Linked DNA regions of Anolis sagrei. The protein of the gene in region 2 purifies or fractionates together with the protein of the main gene of each other region. This does not show direct contact. Links are inferred from orthologs where the notes say so. Each region holds a gene or a part of one and is shown on either strand. Other genes may lie near its edges.

Region 1 (11,365 bases), about 100 Mb from region 2:
TTCGTAGCAACATGCGATGTTTACAGTGGTGTCTGCAGAAAATGCTTCAGCTGTACACCACAGAAAGAAAAATCAGACTGTTCAGCAAGACTTGCAAATGCTGATTTATCACCAGTAAATACTGCTTAGCACCATCTGACATCCGCCGGGAAGTAGCAGCCAATAGTTAAAGGACCAAGGCAGAGACATCTCCAGCTCATCCCCTGTTTGGGTATCAGCCAGCACGTCAACGACTTAAATCTAGAAATAGTTTTCTAAGATCTACAGAGACACTCGCTGGAACACCTCAGCAAGCGAGAGTCCAAAAGTGGCAGGCTCATACCCAGAACCTCAACCAATGGCTGATACCAAATGAGAGACTCCCCCCTGGGCACACAGAAGACTGGGCGACTTGGAAGGCGCTGAACAGACTGCGCTCTGGCACCACGAGATGCAGAGCCAACCTTCAGAAATGGGGCTACAAAGTGGAATCCTTGACATGCGAGTGTGGAGAAGAGCAAACCACTGACCACCTGCTGCAATGCAACCTGAGCCCTGCCACATGCACAAGGGAGGACCTTCTTGCAGCAACACCAGAAGCACTCCAAGTGGCCAGATACTGGTCAAAGGACATTTAATCAACTACCAAACTCACAAACTTTGTATTTTGTCTGTTTGTTTGTTTTGTTCTGTTAGAAATGTAATATAATTGACTGGTTGCCCTGACACGACAAATAAATACCAGTAAATGCTATTTTATATACTTATCGGGGGGGGGGGGGGGGGATCAGGTGAAAAGGGATAGTGCATGGAAAAAGTTTAAGAAGCTCTGATTTAGAGAACTGACATTCTAGGAATCTGTAGGTCCTGCAGTATAATCTGTCTTAAATTTGACCTTGTTGGAGGACCAAGAGATTCGTTGGGTTTAAAAACAGCAATTTTATTATTCACAGTTTTTCAGTTTTGCGAGTGTCCCTTGCCCCTCACCCCAGTACATGTGGAAGTCTGACTGTATTATTTAGTTCCACAAAACTGCCAGAGGTTCTTAAGATTTCCATGATTCCACAGATACTATTGAGACTGTTTGTATTAGTCTTCTCTATTGAGGGGCTGCTGAATACTATATATCCAGAGGAAGGAACAGCCAAAGCCACCTCTGAGTATCCCTTGCCTGAGAAAATCTTAAGAGCGCCACAGGCTGGATGTACACTGCCATATAATCCAGTTTCTGAATCCAGTTCATCCTGACTTATAGGTTGTTGTGAGTTTTCCGGCCTGTATGGCTATGTTCCAGAAGCATTCTCTTCTGATGTTTTGCCCACATCTATGGCAGGCATCCTCAGAGGTTGTGAGGTATATTGGAAACTAAGCAATGGAGGTTTATATATCTGTGGAATAATGTCCAGGGTGGGAGAAAGAATTCTTGTCTGTTGCAAAGCAAAGTAATGCTAATCAAGGTGATTAAGTGCAACAGTCACATTTGCCTCCAACAGACAAATGTTTTTTCTCCCACTCTGGACCTTCCACAGATATTTAAACCTCCCTTGCTTAGTTTCTAATATTCCTCATAACCTCTGAGGATTTTTTTTCTGTGTCAGGAGTGACTTGAGAAACAGTAAGTCGCTTCTGGGGTGAGAGAATTGGTCGTCTGCAAGGATATTGCCCTGGGGACACCCAGATGTTTTGATGTTTTACCATCCTTGGGAGAAGCTTCTCTAATGCCCCCGCATAGGGAGCTGGAGCTGACAGAGGGAGCTCATCCTCGCTCTCCCCAAATTGGAACCTCCCAACATTACGGTCTTCAGTCCTGCCAGCCCAAGGGTTTAATCCAGTGCACCACCTCTGAGGATGCCTCCCATAGATGTGGGTGAAACGTCAGGAGAGAATGCTTCTGGAACATGGCCATACAGCCTGGAAAACTCACAACAACCCAGTGATTCCGGCCATGAAAACCTTCGACAACACATATCCTGATTTGAAGAGGATCACAGGAGTCTACACTGCCACATAATCCAGCTCGAAGCAATACAACCTCTCACTATTGCTTAGCCTCAAAGTTTTGTCACTGGAGTTTACATCGCCCCTCCCCTTATTTTAATGAGCCCCCCTCCGCAAATAACCTGTTTCTCCTTTATCTCACCTGAGTTTTTAATCAGTTTTTAATTAGCTCTTCTTTTAATCATTACATGTAGCCTGCCCATTGTCACTGTGATTATATTTACTGTAATTTTATATTGTTATGCATTATTATGTTTTATGTAATTATGGTGTTGTTTATTTATTTCATTTTGGTTTTATTTTGCTGTCATTTGTTGTTTGGGCTTGGCCTCATGTAAGCCGCCCCGAGTCCCCATTGGGGAGGTGGCGGCAGGGTATAAATAAAGATTATTATTATTATCAGGATTCAGAAGCTGGATTATATGGCTGTGTAGACGTAGTCAAAGGGCTGCCATAAATTTATTGGCAACTTGAAGGTTTTCCTTTTTTGAGGTTTAAAAAAATGTTCAAGATGTGGATAACTACATCTGTGGATACTGGGAGCGAAATGTACACAAACCAAGAATTTAAAAGAATTTAAAACAAACAAGGACATCTAATCACCTCTCAACAAACGATTGCTCCAGGCACTGCCAGGCAAACAAATGCTAATCAAGGTAGTCAGTTGAAACATTCATACCTAGCTCCAGCAGACAAGAGTCCTTTGTCTCACCCTGGTCATTCCACAGATATATAAACCCTTTTTCCTAGTTCCAACAGACCTCACTACCTCTGAGGATGCTTGCCATAGATGCAGGCGAAACGTCAGGAGAGAATGCCTCTAGAACATGGCCATATAGCCCGAAAAAACCTACAACAACCCAGTTTAAAAGGGTTTTGGCAGTACCAGAACTATCTTGAGAGGCAGATACTCATGGCTTCCCTTTTAAAAACACAATATTGATTCTTCATCCCAAAAGTGTAATTCCAAAGAAAGTAATTGGAAATGTAATTTCCAATGTAATTGGAAGGAAGTGAAGAGTGGAATGCCGCAGGGTTCCATCCTGGGCCCGGTCCCGTTCAACGTCTCTATTAATGACTTAAATGAAGGGTTAGAAGGCATGATCATCAAGTTTGCAGATGACACCAAATTGGGAGGGATAGCCAATACTCCAGAGGACAGGAGCAGGATTCAAAACGATCTTGACAGATTAGAGAGATGATTGGCCAAAACTAACAAAACGAAGTTCAACAGGGACAAATGCAAGATACTCCACTTTGGCAGAAAAAACGAAATGCAAAGATACAGAATGGGGGACAATGCCTGGCTCAAGAGCAGTACGTGTGAAAAAGATCTTGGAGTCCTCGTGGACAACAAGTTAAACATGAGCCAGCAATGTGATGTGGCAGCAAAAAAAGCCAATGGGATTTTGGCCTGCATCAATAGGAGCATAGTGTCTAGATCTAAGGAAGTAATGCTACCCCTCTATTCTGCTTTGGTTAGACCACACCTGGAATATTGTGTCCAATTCTGGGCACCACAATTCAAGAGAGATATTGACAAGCTGGAATGTGTCCAGAGGAGGGCGACTAAAATGATCAAGGGTCTGGAGAACAAGCCCTATGAGGAGCGGCTTAAGAAGCTGGGCATGTTTAGCCTGAAAAAGAGAAGGCTGAGAGGAGACATGATAGCCATGTATAAATATGTGAGAGGAAGTCATAGAGAGGAGGGAGTAAGCTTGTTTTCTGGAGACTACGGCACAGTGCAACAATGGCTTCAAACTACAAGAAAGGAGATTCCATCTGAACATGAGGAAGAACTTCCTGACTGTGAGAGCTGTTCAGCAGTGGAACTCTCTGCCCCGGAGTGTGGTGGAGGCTCCTTCTTTGGAGGCTTTTAAACAGAGGCTGGATGGCCATCTGTCAGGGGTGATTTGAATGCAATATTCCTGCTTTTTGGCAGGGAGTTGGACTGGATGGCCCATGAGGTCCCTTCCAACTCTAGGATTCTATGAAAGCTTAATTCTGAGCACAATCCAGGTAACTGAAACACACCTGCTTCAATGGAAACCATCAGGACATCTCTACTGGCAGCCACACTTACCTGGGAGTGAGCCACTTCACTGTGTTGTGGAAGTTACTTTCCTGTCTGAAATCAACCCCTGGGAAGGCTTAATTGCTTAACACGGCTGCATCCCTTCTGTCCTTTTAGGGTTTCTTTAGAAGCACTCTGCACATGATCAGAGTCTACTTGGGCATCACAGATCCCTTGCTTCCAAACAACCAACCATCCAGCCCACAAAAGCCGAGCCCCGAAACAATCGATGGCTCCTTCTCGACGAGAGAACCCAATCGAACTCAAGAGCCGACCCTCCTTCGCGATGGCGCATGCGCTAGATTTGAAACACGCACGACTCGCTTCTTTCCTTCTGCGCATGCGCTATCCGTCTTGTGAACCACTCCTCCACAACATTTCGTATACAGTGCCTCGGAAGAGCCTTCGGAAGTAGTGCGCGTGCGCGGTACTTCCCTCCGTGCTCTGTCTTCACACTGCGCAGGCGTGTTGGCTAACGGCTGTTTCCCGTGCCTTCCTCCCATTGGCCGGTTTTTTCTTTAGGGCGGGACTAGCGCGAATTCCAAACGATTTCCTGAATCCATTTTTGTGTAAGGAAGGAATCGGCTCAGAGTTAAAGAGGGAACAGTGCGGCCTATCTATTGTGAGAGGATCTTCCTGCGCCATCTGTTTTGTTTGGAATCACAGGTATTTCCTTCTGAGTGGGAGAGAGGAGGCGGGTAGGCCTTTCTCCTGATTGGCAGTGTTGGAATTCAACCCCCACACTGCCCAAGTCTGCAGTCCTCAATGAGGAACAGTTAGTTTTAGAATAGGCTTCCCCCCTGACTCCTGAAAGGCAGTTGGATTGTATCTTTCTGTTCTCTCTCTATCTTTTTCTGCTCCCATCCTGATTGGTGGTGTAGAATTGATACTCTTCAGGTTGCATGCCTTTGCTGAAGTCTTCTGCATTTCATCTTTGCACTCAGACTCTCTCTACTTTGTATGTTTGAAGAGATGTGTTTGGAGAGATGTGTTTTGGAAATTAGAAGTTATGGAGTTCTAGAGAAATGTATTTATTTACAACATTTATATGCCGCCCTTCTCACCCCAAAGGGGACTCAGAGCAGCTGACAAGATAAATAAAGCCCTAAACGGTCCCGGCCCAAGCTACCTATCCAACCGCATCTCTGCCTATGAACCCACCAGGTCTTCACTTTTTTGCGGAATACCATTAGAGATGGTACTAGTCTAATGTCCGTAGGAAGGGCGTTCCATAGCCGAGGAGCCACCACCGAGAAGGCCCTATCTCTCGTCCCCGCCAGCCATGCTTGAGAAGCAGGCGGGATCGAGAGCAGGGCCTGCTTCTCAATCATGGCTGGCGGGGACGAGAGATAGGGCCTTCTCGGTGGTGGCTCCTCGGCTGTGGAACGCCCTTCCTACAGACATTAGACTAGCACCATCTCTAATGGTATTCCGCAAAAAAAGTGAAGACCTGGCTGTTTGAGCAGGTGTTCGAATAATTAGTGCAATGATTGGTTAATGAACACTGGAATGGAACAATGGATGACGAATCTGGAACATGTTTTTGATGACGAGACGACAGTGAATGGGTATTGTAGTAACTGTTTATTAATTGTGTAATGTGTTAGGTTGTTACTGTTTCTATACTGTAGCACTGAATTTTCGCTGTTTGTATTTGTTGTGAACCGCTGTGAGTCGCCTTCGGGCTGAGAACAGCGGTATATAAGTAAGGTAAATAAATAATAATAAATAATAAATATTTGTCGTGTCAGGGCAACCAGTCAATTATATTACATTTCTAACAGAACAAAGCAAACAAACAGACAAAATACAAAATTTGTGAGTTTGATAGTTGATTCAATCTCCTTTGATCAGTATCTGGCCACTTGGAGTGCTTCTGGTGTTGCTGCAAGAAGGTCCTCCATTGTGCATGTGGCAGGGCTCAGGTTGCATTGCAGCAGGTGGTCTGTAGTTTGCTCTCCTCCACACTCGCATGTCGTGGATTCCACCCTGTAGCCCCATTTCTTGAGGTTGGCTCTGCATCTTGTGGTGCCAGGGCGCAGTCTGTTCAGTGCCTTCCAAGTCGCCCAGTTTTCTGTGTTCCCAGGGGGGAGTCTCTCATTTGGTGTCAGCCATTGGTTGAGGTTCTGGGTTTGAGCCTGCCACTTTTGGACTCTCACTTGCTGAGGTGTTCCAGTGAGTGTCTCTGTAGAACTTAGAAAACTATTTCTAGATTTAAGTCGTTGACGATTTATTTATTTACAACATTTATATGCCACCCTTCTCACTCCGAAGGGGACTCAGAGCGGCTTACAAGATATATATACATACAATATATTATATTATTAGCATAGTACAATATCAGTATTCAATATTACTATATTGTACTATACCATTATATTGGAATATTTTTAGTAAGATTACATGTAATCTATATAAATAAAAATGCTCTGTTCGTTTGTGGGATTAACATAACTTTTTTACATAACAGTGCGCCGGCCGATCCAGTTTTTAATAATGTCTTGATGTACTGCCACTGTTGTTATTTTGCTTATTGTTTGATTTGCTTAGTATTGCTTAGTATTGCCTAGTGTTATGTTATTTTGCTTATTGTTTGATTTGCTTTGTTGTTGTGATGTTACATTCTCTATTGTATTGTGTTTTGAGGCTTCGGCCTGTGTAAGCCGCATCGAGTCCTCCGGGAGATGCTAGCGGGGTACAAATAAAGTTAATAATAATAATAATAATAATAATAATAATAACTCAAAAACCACTGGACGAATTGACACCAATTTTGGACACAATACATCTCTCAGGCCAACGAGTGACCATCACGCATAAAAACACTAAAAAAAAAACACAGCAGAAGAGACTTAAAAAGCCAACAAAATAAAAAAATACATTTCAATTCATGCACAAAACCACATATATACACAAACACACATATATACACAATTGCTTATTGTGTGTTTTTTTGTTTTTGAGTTTTATTTCAACTGTTTGTATTGATTATTTGTTATTGCTTTTGTTTATTGATGTGCTGTGGGCTTGGCCTCATGTAAGCCACACTGAGTCCCTTGGGGAGATGGTAGCGGGGTACAAATAAAGTATTATTATTATTATTATTATTACACAAATATATACACACACACAAAGCACATATACACAGACTGAGCCACAGCAATGCGTGGCAGGGGACAGCTAGTAATAATAATAATAATAATAATAATAATAATAATAATAATAGACTCCTAGAGTTCAAAGGGACCCCCAAGAGTCATTTAGTATAAATATATAATTCTAATAATATATTATTAGTATTATATTGCATTACATTATATTATTAGAATAGCACAGGAGAGAAGGTGGAACTGTCTTCTGCCCCCTCTCACTTCACTCTGGCCCAGAGCAGCAGTTGGTACAGGGGGAGGGGTCCCCAACTGATGACATATGTAGGAGACAAGATGGAACTATCCTCTGCCCCCCCTTTCACTCTGGCCCAGAGCAGCAGTTGGTGCTGGGAGGAGAGGTCCCCAGCTGATGACATATGCAGGAGATAAGGTGGAACTTGTTTAGATCCAATTCTTTCCTATCAAGAAATGTTGTTCTTATATGTAAATCAGGGGCCCTCAAACTTTTTAAAATCAAGGCCAGGTTACAGTCCCTCAAATAGTTCAAGGGCTGGATTATAATTTGAAAAAAACATGAATGAATTCCTATGCACACTGCGCATATCTTATTTGTAGTGTAAAAAAACACTTAAAACAATACAATAATTAAAATGAACAATTTTAACAAATATAAACTTATTAGTATTTCAATGGGAGGTGTGGGCCTGATTTGGCTGATGAGATAGGATTGTTGTTGTGTGCTTTCAAGTCATTTCAGACTTAGGCCAACCCTGAGCAAGGGACAGGTAAATGACCTTGGAGGGCTATATTCGGCCCTCGGGCCTTTGTTTGAGGATCCCTGATGTAAATACACCTTTTGGGTAAAAATTGAACTCTGCCTCTTTGCCTGCTAATCTCAAAATAGTTTTTAGCCTCACAACAGTTCATCTTTCTGCTTGCTGTGAGCTGACTTCTCAGTTAAGTTTGTTGTTTTGGATGCTCTGTTATTTTTGGGAGAATTCCCTAATAGGCAGACGATAAGGATAATAGAAATTGGAAGCCCATGCCGCCTTGTTATTGGCAGGGGGCTTAACTGCTTCTTTGAGGTTGAGAACTGTGCTGGCAGTAGTGCAAATTACCAGTAGATTCAACCAAGCCAGAGTGGTCTCAACTGAGAAGCAGGGCTAAGTGCACCCAACCAATTTACATATAGTGAAACAAACTCTAAAGAAGTCTATACTGGCTCGGTCATCACCCAGGATAATAAGGCTGACAAAATTACCATCTGTCAGCTGCAAAAGGCCACCCTACTCAGATCTGCATGCATTATTCGCCCTGTGTCAAATGATTTGGGAGGGGGGGGAGCAAGAATTATGATATTTATTGGAATGTATCCAGGCTGATGTCAGTCTCCTTGCTCTTTCAAGTACTTTTGTTTTACTTATAGGTGTTCATGACAACTCATCAGCAATTAAGACGGACTACCGTCCACCGAGACTCTGCCAATGCACCACATAGAGTACGAGTGTGTGTGCGATTGCGCCCGGCAGTGGGAACTGGACAGGGTCAAGATGCCCCATGTGTCCGTGGTGTGGACTCCCATTCCTTGGAGATCCTTAACTGGAGGAACGAGATGGAGACAATGAAATACAAGTAAGGTGGACAGAGATTTCTTGATCTGAGTCTGTCATGTTTTGGTGGACATGGGGGAACTCGCTTTGGATTGAGACAGGTTCCATAATATTGGCATTGCCAAGATATTGGCAAAATAGTCTCACCTTCTCCCTGCTCTCATTCCCAAGAACTCCAGTGAATTAAAACCTTACCTTAGGAACTGTACAGCTCATTTATCATTTCCATCTTTCTTTGCTTGCACAAGAAAATGAGGTATGTGATAGCTGGGAAGTCTTGCAAGTGTTTGCAAGACTTCCCAACCATTGGCTCAGGAAAAAGCAGCTGTAGTGGCCAAAAGCATGGTAATGACTTTTCTGGAGATCAGGTGAAAGCCATAAAGCTAGGCAACCCATTGCTCTGGAACAGGGGTTCTCAAACATTTTTAGTCATGGAGCACCTTTGAAATGTGAAGGTCAAGGGAGAATCCTAAATTTCATCTCACAGGTATGTGCTGTATTTGGTAAAATGACAAAAATATTGATGAAACATGGTAGTTTCACAATTTAAACATGCAAAACATTTACGTTTTATCATTAAAAATATAATTTTCTCCATTGATTTCACATTACAGACAGGACTACATGCACAGTCTAGCTTCTGTGTCTGTCTGGCAGTAGGACATATTGTCAGTATGGATTGTGTATCCTTGCAACATTTTGGTTCCCAGGAGCCAACTGGCGAGAGTCTACAGTTTGTGTTTCACATGGAAGGTGCTAAAAGTCCTCTACTCGATACTGTTCTACATGCCGCTCATGGGTGCAAAAAATAACTATATTGAGATCCCCCGCATTTATTTCTAATGAACAAAAGCAGTGGTCTCAACCTTGTGTTCTCCAGTTGTTTTGGACTTCAGGTCCCCAGAAATCTCAGCCAGTTTACAAGCTGTTAGGAATTATGGGAGCTGAGGTTCAAAACACCTGGAGGACCAAAGGTTGGGATCCACTGCTCTAGAGCTTAGGATTGTGGAAGGTGCAGCCAAAGACCATAGGGCCTCGATGTACTATCTCTAAAGCCCCTTGAATTCCATTGAGATTTTGGAGGTTTTGTTACATTTTTTCTTCTAGCAGGTTTCAAAACATAGTGTGCTTTCCTCCACAATCTCTAAAAAAACCTGAATAGTGGCTGAAAATAAGTCACAAGTTCAACCCAAAATATACTTTTCTCTCCCCCAAAGGTTTGATGCTTTTTATGGAGAATCAGCCACTCAACATGACATCTACATGGGGTCAGTTCAGCCTATCTTGCGCCATTTGCTGGAGGGGCAAAATGCCAGCATTCTGGCTTATGGCCCCACTGGAGCAGGTAAATATGAAATGCCACAGAGGTGAAACGAGCCCAAATGGGCTGGGGCTTGTAGTTGGCCATGGGGAAGTTTTTTTTTATTGTTTTTCTTCTATCTTACCATTCTCTTTCTCCTCGGTAGGCAAGACACATACTATGTTGGGAAATCCAGACCAACCAGGAATGATACCACGAGCTCTTCGGGATGTCTTGCAGATGACAAGAGATGCCTCAGTGGATGGGAGGAAATATTCTGTTTCTATGTCCTATCTTGAGATATACCAAGAGAAGGTAAGTGATGACTGACAAACTGCATTGGAAGGACAAATTGAAGTTAATAAATTCACTGGTGGTTAGGAATATGAAAGCTTTAAGGGAGAAGGTGGCTTAGAACATGGCTGTATTTGAAATCAGTAGAACCCAAGAGCCAGACATGTTGAAATAAGTACTATCTAGCAGGTTTTAGTAATGGATACTAGTTATGGTTTTGTACTTTCCTTCATGTTTCCTCTCTTCTTGTGCCATTTGCTGGTAGCTGTTAGGGATTCCTCATCTTCAGAAGAAGGGGAGCAGGAAAGTGTTCAGGAATTAGAGGGGGAATTAGAATCAGAGGATGAGGTTTCGCAAGTGCCCACATTTCTGGAAAGGCTAAAGGAAACAGAGCAGAGACACCATTCCGCTGGAATAGCTGCCAGAAACGCCTAAGTAATTGGGAACTGCCTTAGCACCTCCTGCATGGGGAATTCAGGGCTATAAATCAGAAGCAGTAGTAGTCAGCTTTTGCTGGTAACAAACAACCCTGATGCTTATGCCTTCACTCCCATCTGTACCTGCTTTGAGTCTGCGTTTGAGAAACTGCCTCTGAGGATTTATTGGTCAATGCACGTTGTTTCTTCGTCTGATGTGAGACTGCTGTTTTATTTTGGACTTTTATCAGAGACTTGAGTATTGTGTCTGCATTAAGACTTCTTTGCTTTCTTTTGCATTATACAACTGCGTGCACTGATCTCTTAAATTTTTGCTGAAGTACAGCATTTTTATTTTCAACATGATGTTAAGACTGTTCTTGAGGGGCAAAACAGGACAGAAGCTTTCAGTTCTGGAAAAAAATGTTAAACTGGACTACCAGCTTTTTAAGGAGATGAGTGATTTAGTTGCTGTTCAAGGTTGCCAGTGCTGCCTCTTCTCTTTGGCTACAAATACCTGCAAGTTGCTAACTTCATCTGGATTGGTTCCTGACTGCAGTGACAATGAAGATAGGTGAAGTGTA
Region 2 (11,165 bases):
TCTCTGTAGATCTTAAGAAAACTATGTCTTGATTTAAGTCGTTGACGTGCTGGCTGATACCCAAACTGGGGATGAGCTGGAGATGTCTCTGCCTTGGTCCTTTCACTATTGGCTGCTACTTCCCGGCGGATGTCAGGTGGTGCAATACTGGCTAGACAGTGTAATTTCTCCAGTGGTGTGGGGCGCAGACACCCCATGATAATGCGGCATGTCTCATTAAGAGCCACATCCACTGTTTTCCAGCAAAGGATCACCGCCTTGTCGGGGCGCTGGAGCTTGAGCACCTCAATGATGTCATGAGCGAAACCGTGAAGGGCCACCCAAGACGGGACGGTTGTAGCAGAGAGGTCAGACCAAGCGTGATCCCTGGGGAAGGCAATGGCAAACCACTCCAGTATCCTTGCCAAGAAAACTAAATGGACCAGTACAACCAGAGATATGTCGGTATGCCATTGGAAGATGGGACTCCCAGGTCGGAAGATGGCCAAAATGCTACTGGGGAGGAGCAGAGGATAAGTTCAACTAGCCCCAGATGTGATGACGCAGCTAGCTCAAAGCCGAAAGGAAGGCTAGCGGCCGACGGTACTGGAGGGGAACGACGAATCCGATGCTCTAAAGATCAACACACCATAGGAACCTGGAATGTAAGATCTATGAGCCAGGGCAAATTGGATGTTGTTATTGGTGAGATGTCAAGACTAAAGATAGACATTCTGGGGGTCAGCGAACTGAAATGGACTGGAATGGGCCACTTCACATCAGATGACCACCAGATCTACTACTGCGGACAAGAGGAACATCGAAGAAATGGAGTAGCCTTCATAATTAATAAGAAATTCGCTAAAGCGGTGCTTGGATACAACCCAAAAAATGACAGAATGATCTCAATTCGAGTGCAAGGAAAGCCTTTCAACATCACAGTGATCCAAATATATGCCCCAACCACAGCTGCTGAAGAAGCAGAAGTAGATCAGTTCTATGAGGATCTGCAGGACCTACTGGATAATACACCAAAAAGAGACATTATTTTCATTACAGGAGACTGGAATGCCAAGGTGGGAAGTCAAATGACAACTGGGATCACAGGCAAGCATGGTCTGGGAGAACAAAATGAAGCGGGACGCAGGCTGATAGAATTCTGCCAGGAAAACTCGCTGTGTATAACGAATACTCTCTTCCAACAACCTAAAAGACGGCTTTATACATGGACCTCACCAGATGGTCAACACCGAAATCAGATTGACTACATCCTTTGCAGCCAAAGGTGGCGGACATCCATCCAGTCGGTGAAAACAAGACCTGGGGCTGACTGTAGCTCAGATCACGAACTTCTTATTGCCCAATTTAGAATAAAACTAAAGAGATCAGGGAAAATACACAGACCAGTTAGATATGATCTCACTAACATTCCTAGCGAATATACAGTGGAAGTGAAGAACAGATTTGAAGGACTAGATTTAGTAAACAGAGTCCCAGAAGAACTATGGACAGAAGTCCGCGACATTGTTCAGGAGGCGGCAACAAAGTACGTCCCAAAGAAAAAGAAAACCAAGAAGGCAAAATGGTTGTCTGCTGAGACACTGGAAGTAGTCCAAGAAAGGAGGAAAGCAAAAGGAAACACGGATAGTAAGGGGAGATATGCCCAGTTAAATGCGCAATTCCAGAGGTTAGCCAGAAGAGAGAAGGAACTATTTTTAAACAAGCAATGCATGGAAGTGGAAGAAGACAACAGAATAGGAAGGACAAGAGACCTCTTCCAGAAAATTAGAAACATTGGAGGTAAATTTCAGGCAAAAATTGGTATGATAAGAAACAAAGATGGCAGGGACCTAACAGAAGCTGAAGAGATCAAGAGAAGGTGGCGAGACTATACAGAAGATCTGTATAGGAAGGATAACAATATCGAGGATAGCTTTGACGGTGTGGTGAATGAATTAGAACCAGACATCCTGAGGAGTGAGGTTGAATGGGCCTTAAGAAGCATTGCTAACAACAAGGCAGCAGGAGATGATGGGATCCCAGCTGAACTGTTTAAAATCTTAAAAGATGATGCTGTCAAGGTGATGCATGCCATTTGCCAGCAAATATGGAAAACACAAGAATGGCCATCAGACTGGAAAAAATCAACTTATATCCCCATACCAAAAAAGGGAAATGCGAAAGACTGCTCAAACTTCCGTACAGTGGCCCTTATTTCTCATGCCAGTAAGGTAATGCTCAAGATCCTGCAAGGAAGACTCCAGCAATACATGGAGCGAGAGTTGCCAGATGTTCAAGCTGGGTTTAGAAAAGGCAGAGGAACGAGAGACCAGATTACCAATATCCGCTGGATAATGGAGAAAGGCAGGGAGTTTCAGAAAAACATCTACTTCTGCTTCATTGACTATTCTAAAGCCTTTGACTGTGTGGATCATAATAAATTGTGGCAAGTTCTTGGTGGGATGGGCATCCCAAGCCACCTTGTCTCTCTCCTGAGGAATCTGTACAAGGACCAAGTAGCAACAGTCAGAACTGACCACGGAACAACAGACTGGTTCAAGATTGGGAAAGGCGTACGGCAAGGCTGCATCCTCTCACCCAACCTTTTTAACTTGTATGCAGAACACATCATGCGATGTGCGGGGCTGGATGAATGCAAAGCTGGGGTGAAAATTGCTGGAAGAAACATTAACAACCTCAGATATGCAGATGACACCACTCTGATGGCCGAAAGCGAGGAGGAGCTGAGGAGCCTTCTAATCAAGGTGAAAGAAGAAAGCGCAAAAGCCGGGTTGCAGCTAAACGTCAAAAAAACCAAGATTATGGCAACAAGAATGATTGACAACTGGAAAATAGAGGGAGAAACCGTGGAGGCCGTGACAGACTTTGTATTTCTAGGTGCAAAGATTACTGCAGATGCAGACTGTGGCCAGGAAATCAGAAGACGCTTACTTCTTGGGAGGAGAGCAATGTCCAGTCTCGATAAAATAGTGAAGAGTAGAGACATCAGACTGGCAACAAAGATCCGCCTAGTCAAAGCCATGGTATTCCCTGTAGTCACCTATGGATGTGAGAGCTGGACCTTAGGGAAGGCGGAGCGAAGGAAGATCGATGCTTTTGAGCTGTGGTGTTGGAGGAAAGTGCTGAGAGTGCCTTGGACTGCGAGAAGATCCAACCAGTCCATCCTCCAGGAAATAAAGCCCGACTGCTCACTGGAGGGAAAGATACTAGAGACAAAGTTGAAGTACTTTGGCCACATCATGAGGAGACAGGAAAGCCTAGAGAAGACAATTATGCTGGGGAAAGTGGAAGGCAAAAGGAAGAGGGGCCGACCAAGGGCAAGATGGATGGATGGCATCCTTGAAGTGACTGGACTGACCTTGAGGGAGCTGGGGGTGGTAACGGCCGACAGGGAGCTCTGGCGTAGGCTGGTCCATGAGGTCACGAAGAGTCGGAGACGACTGAACGAATGAACAACAACCACTGTTTTAGTGTGATGAGATGTGTTCCATACTGGGCATGCATACTCAGCAGCAGAGTAGCATAGCGCAAGGGCAGATGTCTTCACTGTGTCTGGTTGTGATCCCCAGGTTGTGCCAGTCAGCTTTCGTAAGCTGACTATTAGCAATGACCGCATTTGTTTCTAAGTGTTTGCAGAAACACTATCTCAGCATTGGTTGAACTTCATGATCTTCATGATCTGTACTGTACAGTATAATGAATGCAAACTAGAACCTGAGGAACTCTATTATCTCAGCATTGGCTACCCGTGTGACCAATCCCAGGTGAGGGATTGGCTTCCATTGCATTGCTAGGAAAAAGCAGAGAGGCCTACTGCTGAAGAGCCACCAGCAGGGAAGCGAACTGCGCATGCGCGGGGCGCCTGAAAGGGGACGAAACCTGCCTTGTCAACCCAATCAGAGCAGAGGGGGAACCCATCGTGCCTTTTCCCCCGTCACACTTGTCATGTTTCGCCTCTTGTTCTGTATCTCGGCTCGTCCGAATGAAAGACGAGTACACCAGTTAAAATGAATAATAATAAAACATACACAAGTCAGTTGAGCTAAAAGCTTATTCGTGTCTCCTTCTTCTCCCCCCCCCCCTTTAAAAAGGACAATGGAACCGTCGAAAAGAGAGAAGGCGCGAGGCGCTCAGAGCAGCAGAACGTGGGGGAGGGGAGATAAGGAATCAAGTGGAAGAGTCCATTGAGGTCAAAGCAAACGGGGGTGGGATAGGGAAATGAGATTAAAGCGAAGGTACCTTGGGGTCTATGTCCCCCACGACGAAGAACTTGACATCTTTGAACATCTCCTCGGGAACCTTCAGCTCTTCCTCCTCCTCCTTCTTCTCCTCTTCCTCCTCTTCATTTTTCTTCTCCTCCTCTCCCTCCCCCTCTTCTTTCGCCATGGTTCCGTCCACTTGCTTCAATCTCTTAGGCTCTTCTTCTTTCTAAAGCAGCTCTGGATCTCTCTCTCTCCCTCTTTGCGCGCCCCCCTCCCCCGCCAAGCACTTATTCCATTCCAAACCGCGGGAGCAGGGCGCGCGCTGCGGGGCGGACCATCAGATGAAAAAGGGGGGGAGTCAAACTGACAAGTTTCAAAATAAATAATCTGATCTATTTCACAACCTCCGGTGGGACACTCTCAGACTATAATAAAAAGTATAATTCCTAATACAATCCACTTTCTTGACGAATGATCTCTCAGTTTGTAAAAAAAGCGGATAGGGTTTCTAATTCCCTCCCTCTTCCTGTTAAAATGGACTCTTCCAATTCCCGCCTCTTTAGGAATAACAACCGGTAGTGAGGCCGAGCCCTAAGCCCCGCCCACTTTTTTCAACTCCACCTCCTCTGATTACTTTTTTTGCGGAGCGAACCATTTCTTCCAAGGATGGGGGGAGAGAGATAGTTATTTTAAAAAAGAAAGAGCCAGTCTCTACTATCTTTTCAATAATACTGAAAAACTATACTAGAATTTTAATTTTGTAATATAATCCGCTCGCTTGATAAATGAACCCGCGTTTCTTTCAAAAATGAATATGAGGGAAGTTCGGATATACCCCCCCCTCGAGATATAATGCACTCTTCCAAATCCCGCCTCCTTTAGGTAGTGATACCGAGCCGTAGGCCCCGCCCACATGGTTTGGCTCCGCCTCCTACGATCTCCCGCCTCGGGAGAGTCGTCTCGCGCGTCTGTTTTGGACTCCAACTCCCAGAGGCCTCAACCAGCTCGGGCAACAGCAAGGAACTCTGGGAAATGAAGTCCAAAGCACCCAGGCGGTGGAATAGCGCTGATATTGCGCTGTCAATTGCTCTCGAAGGGTATTATGGGAAGTGTAGTTCTGAAAGTCTTTTTGTTAAGGCAGGAGATAGTCTTTCCGAACTACATCTCCCAAGGATCTTTTGGAAAGCGCACAAAAGGGGTAGAAATGGAGGGAAAGCGGCACTAGCTGCAGTTTGGTGTTAAGAGGTTTCCCAAAAGACAAGCCAGACAGAGGTGTGAGCTTTATGGCCAGTTCAAAGGCTGGATGTCCCTGCAATTCCGGGCTTAATTGGCCCTGGGATCATAAACCCCGCATTTCAGACAGACCCCATTTTATGGGTTGTCTGGAAGGGTGTTTGTGCTTTTTGTTCCTGGGTCATAAATGCCAGCTCCTAATTGGTTCTGTCATGAAAACACGGGGAAAGTTTATTAAACTGCCAAAACTTTGTTTGTGCAGGAGAGACATCATCCTGCAGCACATTTGGCTCTAGCTTTGCAACCTCATAACATAGAGTCTCCACCAATTCAGCATAGTTGTGCCTAAAAAAGAAAGTTTCTGAAATATAACAGCTACTTCCAAGGTGACCATTGCACAATTAAACAGGAAAATACACTTTTTTTTGCAATTTGTTCCATTGTCTAATAGAAATACAGTAATATACATACTACATATAGGCACAATATAATAATATATAGAAACAATAACATTGCAATATAATAATGCTAATATCATATATATTGTGCAGGTACAACTGCACCAGGAGCTCCAATTTTGTTTGCTTTGCATTTAATGTTTGGTAGTCCTAAGTTTCAGGGACTCTGCAGATAGGTGGCTTCTTTTGGCTGCAATCATAGGGCAAGCCACCTGTAAATTATAGTTAGGTTCCCTGGTCCCGCCCCCTTTGGGGTTTTTGGAGGGAAAAGGAGCCAGTTTGGGTTCAGTCCACACAGAGAAGCTTTCCATGCAGGACATAATACCAAGAGCTCCTGTAGAAAGCTTTGTCTTCTACAGCTTGGCCGGGGAGATATACAGCCCCACAGCTTGGCCGGAAGATGTACAGCCTTACAGCTCCTTTGCTGAGGGACTTCAGTCAACCATCACTGAAACCTGAACTCCTTCTTTTACCCTGGAAGCCTACAAAGCTCTGCTTGGTAAGGGTCACTCGCGGAAGCCAGAAGCAGTTGGTACCGGGTGTAGGGGCTCCATGCCAACAGAGGCAAAGACAGACTGCCCAGATTAGAAGTTAAGGATTTCCCCATTAGTTACAGTTATGAAGATAGTGCCTGTTCCCTGTGGACAAGATTGAGAGAGAGCCAATAGACTGTTAAGAAAGCCTTGAAATACCTGTTTGTTTTCATTAATAAAGAACTTTGTTGAACCTTTAAGCAATCTAAAGACTTTGTTTTAAGGAAATCCAAGGGCCTTTAATCTGAGGCAGCCCTGGCGTCCCGTTGGGCACACAGAATTTATGTTCTGTCTACAGTCTTATGCACAGGGCCAGCGTGCGACAGCATATATATATATATATATATATATATATATATATATTCTAATGTGATACAATATAATGCTACTAATAATATTAAATAATATTTTATATAATATTATTTATTTATTTATTTATTTACATTATTTCTATCCCACCCATATCAGCCCGAAGGTGACTCAGGGCGGCATACACAGTCGGGACACTTCGATGCCATAAAAAGATATACATTGATAAGCAAAAAAGAAACATTATAGTGCATTTAAATGTAAAGACAGCGCATGATAACAATTTAAAAAATATATGTCCTGTCATTCAAATCCTCATCCGTTCCATCGTCTTGGTCCGTTTCTGGGTCATTTTCTGATTCAAGTTTGTCTATTTATTCGGAGGTTCCAAATGCTTGCTCGAAGAGCCAAGTTTTTACTCTTTTAGGAAAGGTCAGGAGGGAGGGGGCTAATCTAATATCCCTAGGTAGGGAGTTCCACAGCCGAGGGGCCACCACGGAGAAGGCCCTGTCTCTCGTCCCCGCCAGACGTACTTGCGAAGGAGGCGGGATCGAGAGCAGGGCCTCCTCAGACGATCTCAAGTTCCTGGAGGATTCATAGGAAGAGTTGCGTTTGGATAGATAAGCTGGGCCGGAACCGTTTAGGGCTTCATAGGCTAAAGCCAGCACTTTGAATTGAGCCCGGTAGCAAACTGGCAGCCAGTGGAGCTGATGCAGCAGAGGAGTTGTATGCTCCCTGCGCTCCGCTCCTGTTAACAACCTGGCTGCCGCACGCTGGACCATTTCAAGCTTCCGGGCTGTCTTCAAAGGCAACCCCACGTAGAGCGCATTGCAATAATCTATATTATATAAATAATATTTATTTATTGATTTATTTATATACGCAACCGTGAAGCCAACAGGAAATTGAAAGTCACCTGGGAAGGTTAAGAGCTTGAACATTGTTTCCATCCTAAATATCTCGGTGTCACCTTAGATTGAACACTAGCATATAGGAAACACTGCCTGAACACCAAGCACAAAGTAGCTGCACGCAAAAACACCTTGCAGAAACTTACTGGCAGCACATGGGGTGCAGACCCAAAATTAGTAAGAACATCACCCCTAGCCTTGTGTTACTCAACTGCCGAGTATGCCTGCCCTGTTTGGCATAGGTCTGCCCATGCAAATAATAATAATAATAATAAGTAAATAAATTCCCAGGTACATCTACACTGTAGAATTAACCCAGTTTGACACAATTTTAATGGCCATGTCTCAATGCTGTGGTTTCAAGAACCAACATCCTTTTGCAGAGAAGATGCAAGACCTTAAAAAACTATTACTCCCATGCTCTCAAAGCATTGAGCCATGGCAGTTAAAGTGGTGTCAAACTGCATTAATTCTATAGTGTAGAAGCACCCTCAATCCAAAATGCATGATGCAATTGCCTGAAAGCAATGTTATGCTTTCTCTCCATTGTAAAAAAAAAATTAAATATTAATTTTTCTGGTGGCTAATAATTTTGCATGAGCAAAAAAAAAAAAAATTAAAAATTAACCTGATAAGGCCAACGCCAGTGTTGGAATAAAGCCCTTTTGTCTCCCAGTATTTATTCAGCATGACAAATCAGGGGAAATAAGAGATCCATTTGATATTTAAAATCCCATCAACCTGACAAGCCTCTTTAAAGCATCAGATGTTAACCAAGGCAGGTCAGGGCTCTGCGGATGTATAAATCATGGAGGAAAATCCCATTAATAAAGTGTCAATCTGAGCCGAAACTTCACTTCTTGGCCAATTATGATAGCGATCTCAGAACAAAGTTTAATTCCATCAGGAGGAATGGATATTTAATAAGACCAGAACAAAGAAAAGGGGCAGAAAAAACCAACAAATAGAAGTCAAGAGTTATAATGAGCGAGGAAAAAGAAGAGTCCTTATATTTTAAATAAGTGAGACATGAAGACCAACTTTTACTATTCTCTGAGCTGCAACCCATTTCTTTTGAATCTAAATATTATGACAAATTTGCCTAGGAAACCTTTACATTATCTTTGTGCTGTCGTGCCTGGAGGCTATAACTCTTAGTGAAAGAGGCATGGACGTGACATCTTTCCCCAGGAGATTGCTTCTTGCTCTCCTTTAGGAAACTGGAACTCCCAAAGACCAAAACACTGTAGATAACTCAAAATAGGTTTAATTGTTCACAAAGAGTTATCTCTTTAAGGCAATAAGCTGGAAGTTTCAAAGGGGTGAAGGAAAATATACATTACAGTCTCTGGTTGTCTTAGGTCCAAGGAGTTTTGCAGCTGAGAAGCTTTTCCAAGTCCCTCTTTCTCAATGGCTGTGAATGCCAGAGCAATCCACAACCCCAGTCCAAATGGTCTATGTTTGAAGACACAAAGTCTTCCTCTGGTGCCAGAAGAACTGGTTTGAAGGCGCTTGAGACTTCCCCACGTCATTCAGGTTGATCTGAACATGAAGCATAAGTCTCAAGGGTAAAAACCTCAGAATTGGTGCTGAGAGGTAACTTAATCAGGGGCTTTTAGAGCCACGTCTCTTACTCACGTCCATCTGGTAGAAAATCTGATGATGGAATGAAAAAGGAAACACTGTCCTGCTCTCTAGGAAGAGGTGGGGTCAAACAATTGAGCAGGAGGAGTAATTCAACTGGTGCAAACAACATTGATTGACAGCTATAAATAACCAATCAACCCAACTATACATTTACAGGGTAAAAAGGCAAAATCAGGCATGATACAACAGTTCAAATCCTGCAACTTACAGTTCTACATATAGGTGGCGCCAGTTGCGCTGTCACAATCTTCTATTGAAAAGTAGAAGAAACCCACGCTTTAGTTGAATAATGTGATAAATTGTACGAGACTCATTCAGTAACTGATAAGCTTTCTGCTTGTCTCAAAAGTAAAAGATGTGGGAGATGACAACATCAAAACTTCCATGTATTTTAGCTGGTTTTTTATTGCAGCACCCAGTTTTCTGTATTCACATTTTTTGAATACATATGTATTTAAATCTCCTTTGAAAATTTCTACACATCTTAAAAACCTTTCTGCAATTCATTTTTCCAAACTGGAAAAAGCTTTTTGTTCTGCACAGAATTTGTAATTTCCTCTTCCTGAAGTCAATGGCAGTAGTGTTAACTTTTACCTTGTTGAATCTGCTGACCTAAAGGTTGGCAGTTCAAAGCCGCAGATCAGGGTGAGCTCCCCTTGTTAGCCCTAGCTCCTGCCAACCTAGCAGTTCGAAAGCATACAAATGTGAGTTTATCAATAGGTACTGCTTCGGCAGGAAGGTAATAGAGGCACCCATGCAGCCATGCCGGCAACTCACTGTAGGTAACTCAACCAGGAGATATCTATGGGCAACAAGCTCCTTGGCTTGGAAATGGAAAAAGAGCACCTCCCCATGGCCAGAATGGAGCATTGCCTCCAAAAGCCGGAGATGAAAGGAGAAGCCGTTACCTTTGTTCTGTGTATTTGTATGTCATTGTTATTCCACTGTATTAAAGGCATTGAATGCTTGCCTGTCTGTGTATGTTGTAATCCGCTCTGAGTTCCCTCGACATTGATTGGAATGTAAATAAAGTGGTACTACTACTACTACTACTACTACTACTAAATGTTTAATTGAGAACTTAGCTAGTTTCCTCCCAACACTTTAAGAGCAGTTTTGGAATAGTGGGTGCATCTACACACTGGAATTAATGCAGTTGATACCACTTTAACTGCCATGACTCAGTGCTATGGAATATTGGGAATTGTAAAGGCACTGAATGTTTGCCTATCTGTGTATGTTGTAATCAGCTCTGAGTTCCCTTGGGGAGAAAGAGTGGAATATAAATAAAGCGATGTTATTACTACTACTAATAATAATAATAATAACAACAACAACAACAACAACAACAATAATACATGTTTAATTGAGAATTGTGCCAATTTCCTCCCAACACTTTAAGAGCAGTCTTGGAATCGTGGGTGCATCTACTTTGTGGAATTAATGCATTCTGATACCACTTTAACTGCCATGGCTCAGTGGTATGGAATATTGGGAGTTGTAGTTTGATGAGACTACATCATTCTCCACCAGAGAAGGCTAAAGAACATGTAAAACTACATCTCCCAGTGTTCCATCCCATTTAGCCATTGTAGTTAAAGTGGTGCCAAACTGGGTTAATTCTACAGTATAGACCAGGCATGGGCAAACTTTGGCCCTCCTGATGTTTGGGACTACAACTCCCACAATTCCTAGCAGCCTCGGGCCCCTTCCTTTTCCCTCTCAGCTGCTTAAGCGGCTGAGGGGGGAAAGGAAAGTGCCTGAGGCTGTTAGGAATTGTGGGAGTTGTAGTCCAAAACACCTGAAAGGATGAAGTTTGCCTATAAAAAGGTAAAGGTTGTCCCCTGACATTAAGTCCAGACATGTCTGACT

The links.
Region 1: the proteins of PAXIP1 (region 2) and PAGR1 purify together in Homo sapiens (affinity purification with mass spectrometry; 6 studies listed by BioGRID and IntAct, with this or other methods). This does not show direct contact. The link is inferred for Anolis sagrei from reciprocal best matches to the Homo sapiens genes PAXIP1 and PAGR1.

The regions. Positions count from the first base shown.
Region 1 is NC_090026.1:17,132,195-17,143,559, forward strand, and holds the start of PAGR1 (PAXIP1-associated glutamate-rich protein 1), read right to left. Parts: upstream 4,342-11,365; 5' UTR 4,061-4,341; intron 1-4,060. Other genes in the region: kinesin-like protein KIF22, read left to right, coding at 8,594-8,793, 9,989-10,116, 10,238-10,386. UniProt on the Homo sapiens protein: Its association with the histone methyltransferase MLL2/MLL3 complex is suggesting a role in epigenetic transcriptional activation. However, in association with PAXIP1/PTIP is proposed to function at least in part independently of the MLL2/MLL3 complex.
Region 2 is NC_090026.1:120,425,621-120,436,785, reverse strand, and holds the start of PAXIP1 (PAX-interacting protein 1), read right to left. Parts: upstream 4,573-11,165; 5' UTR 4,387-4,572; coding exon 4,240-4,386; intron 1-4,239.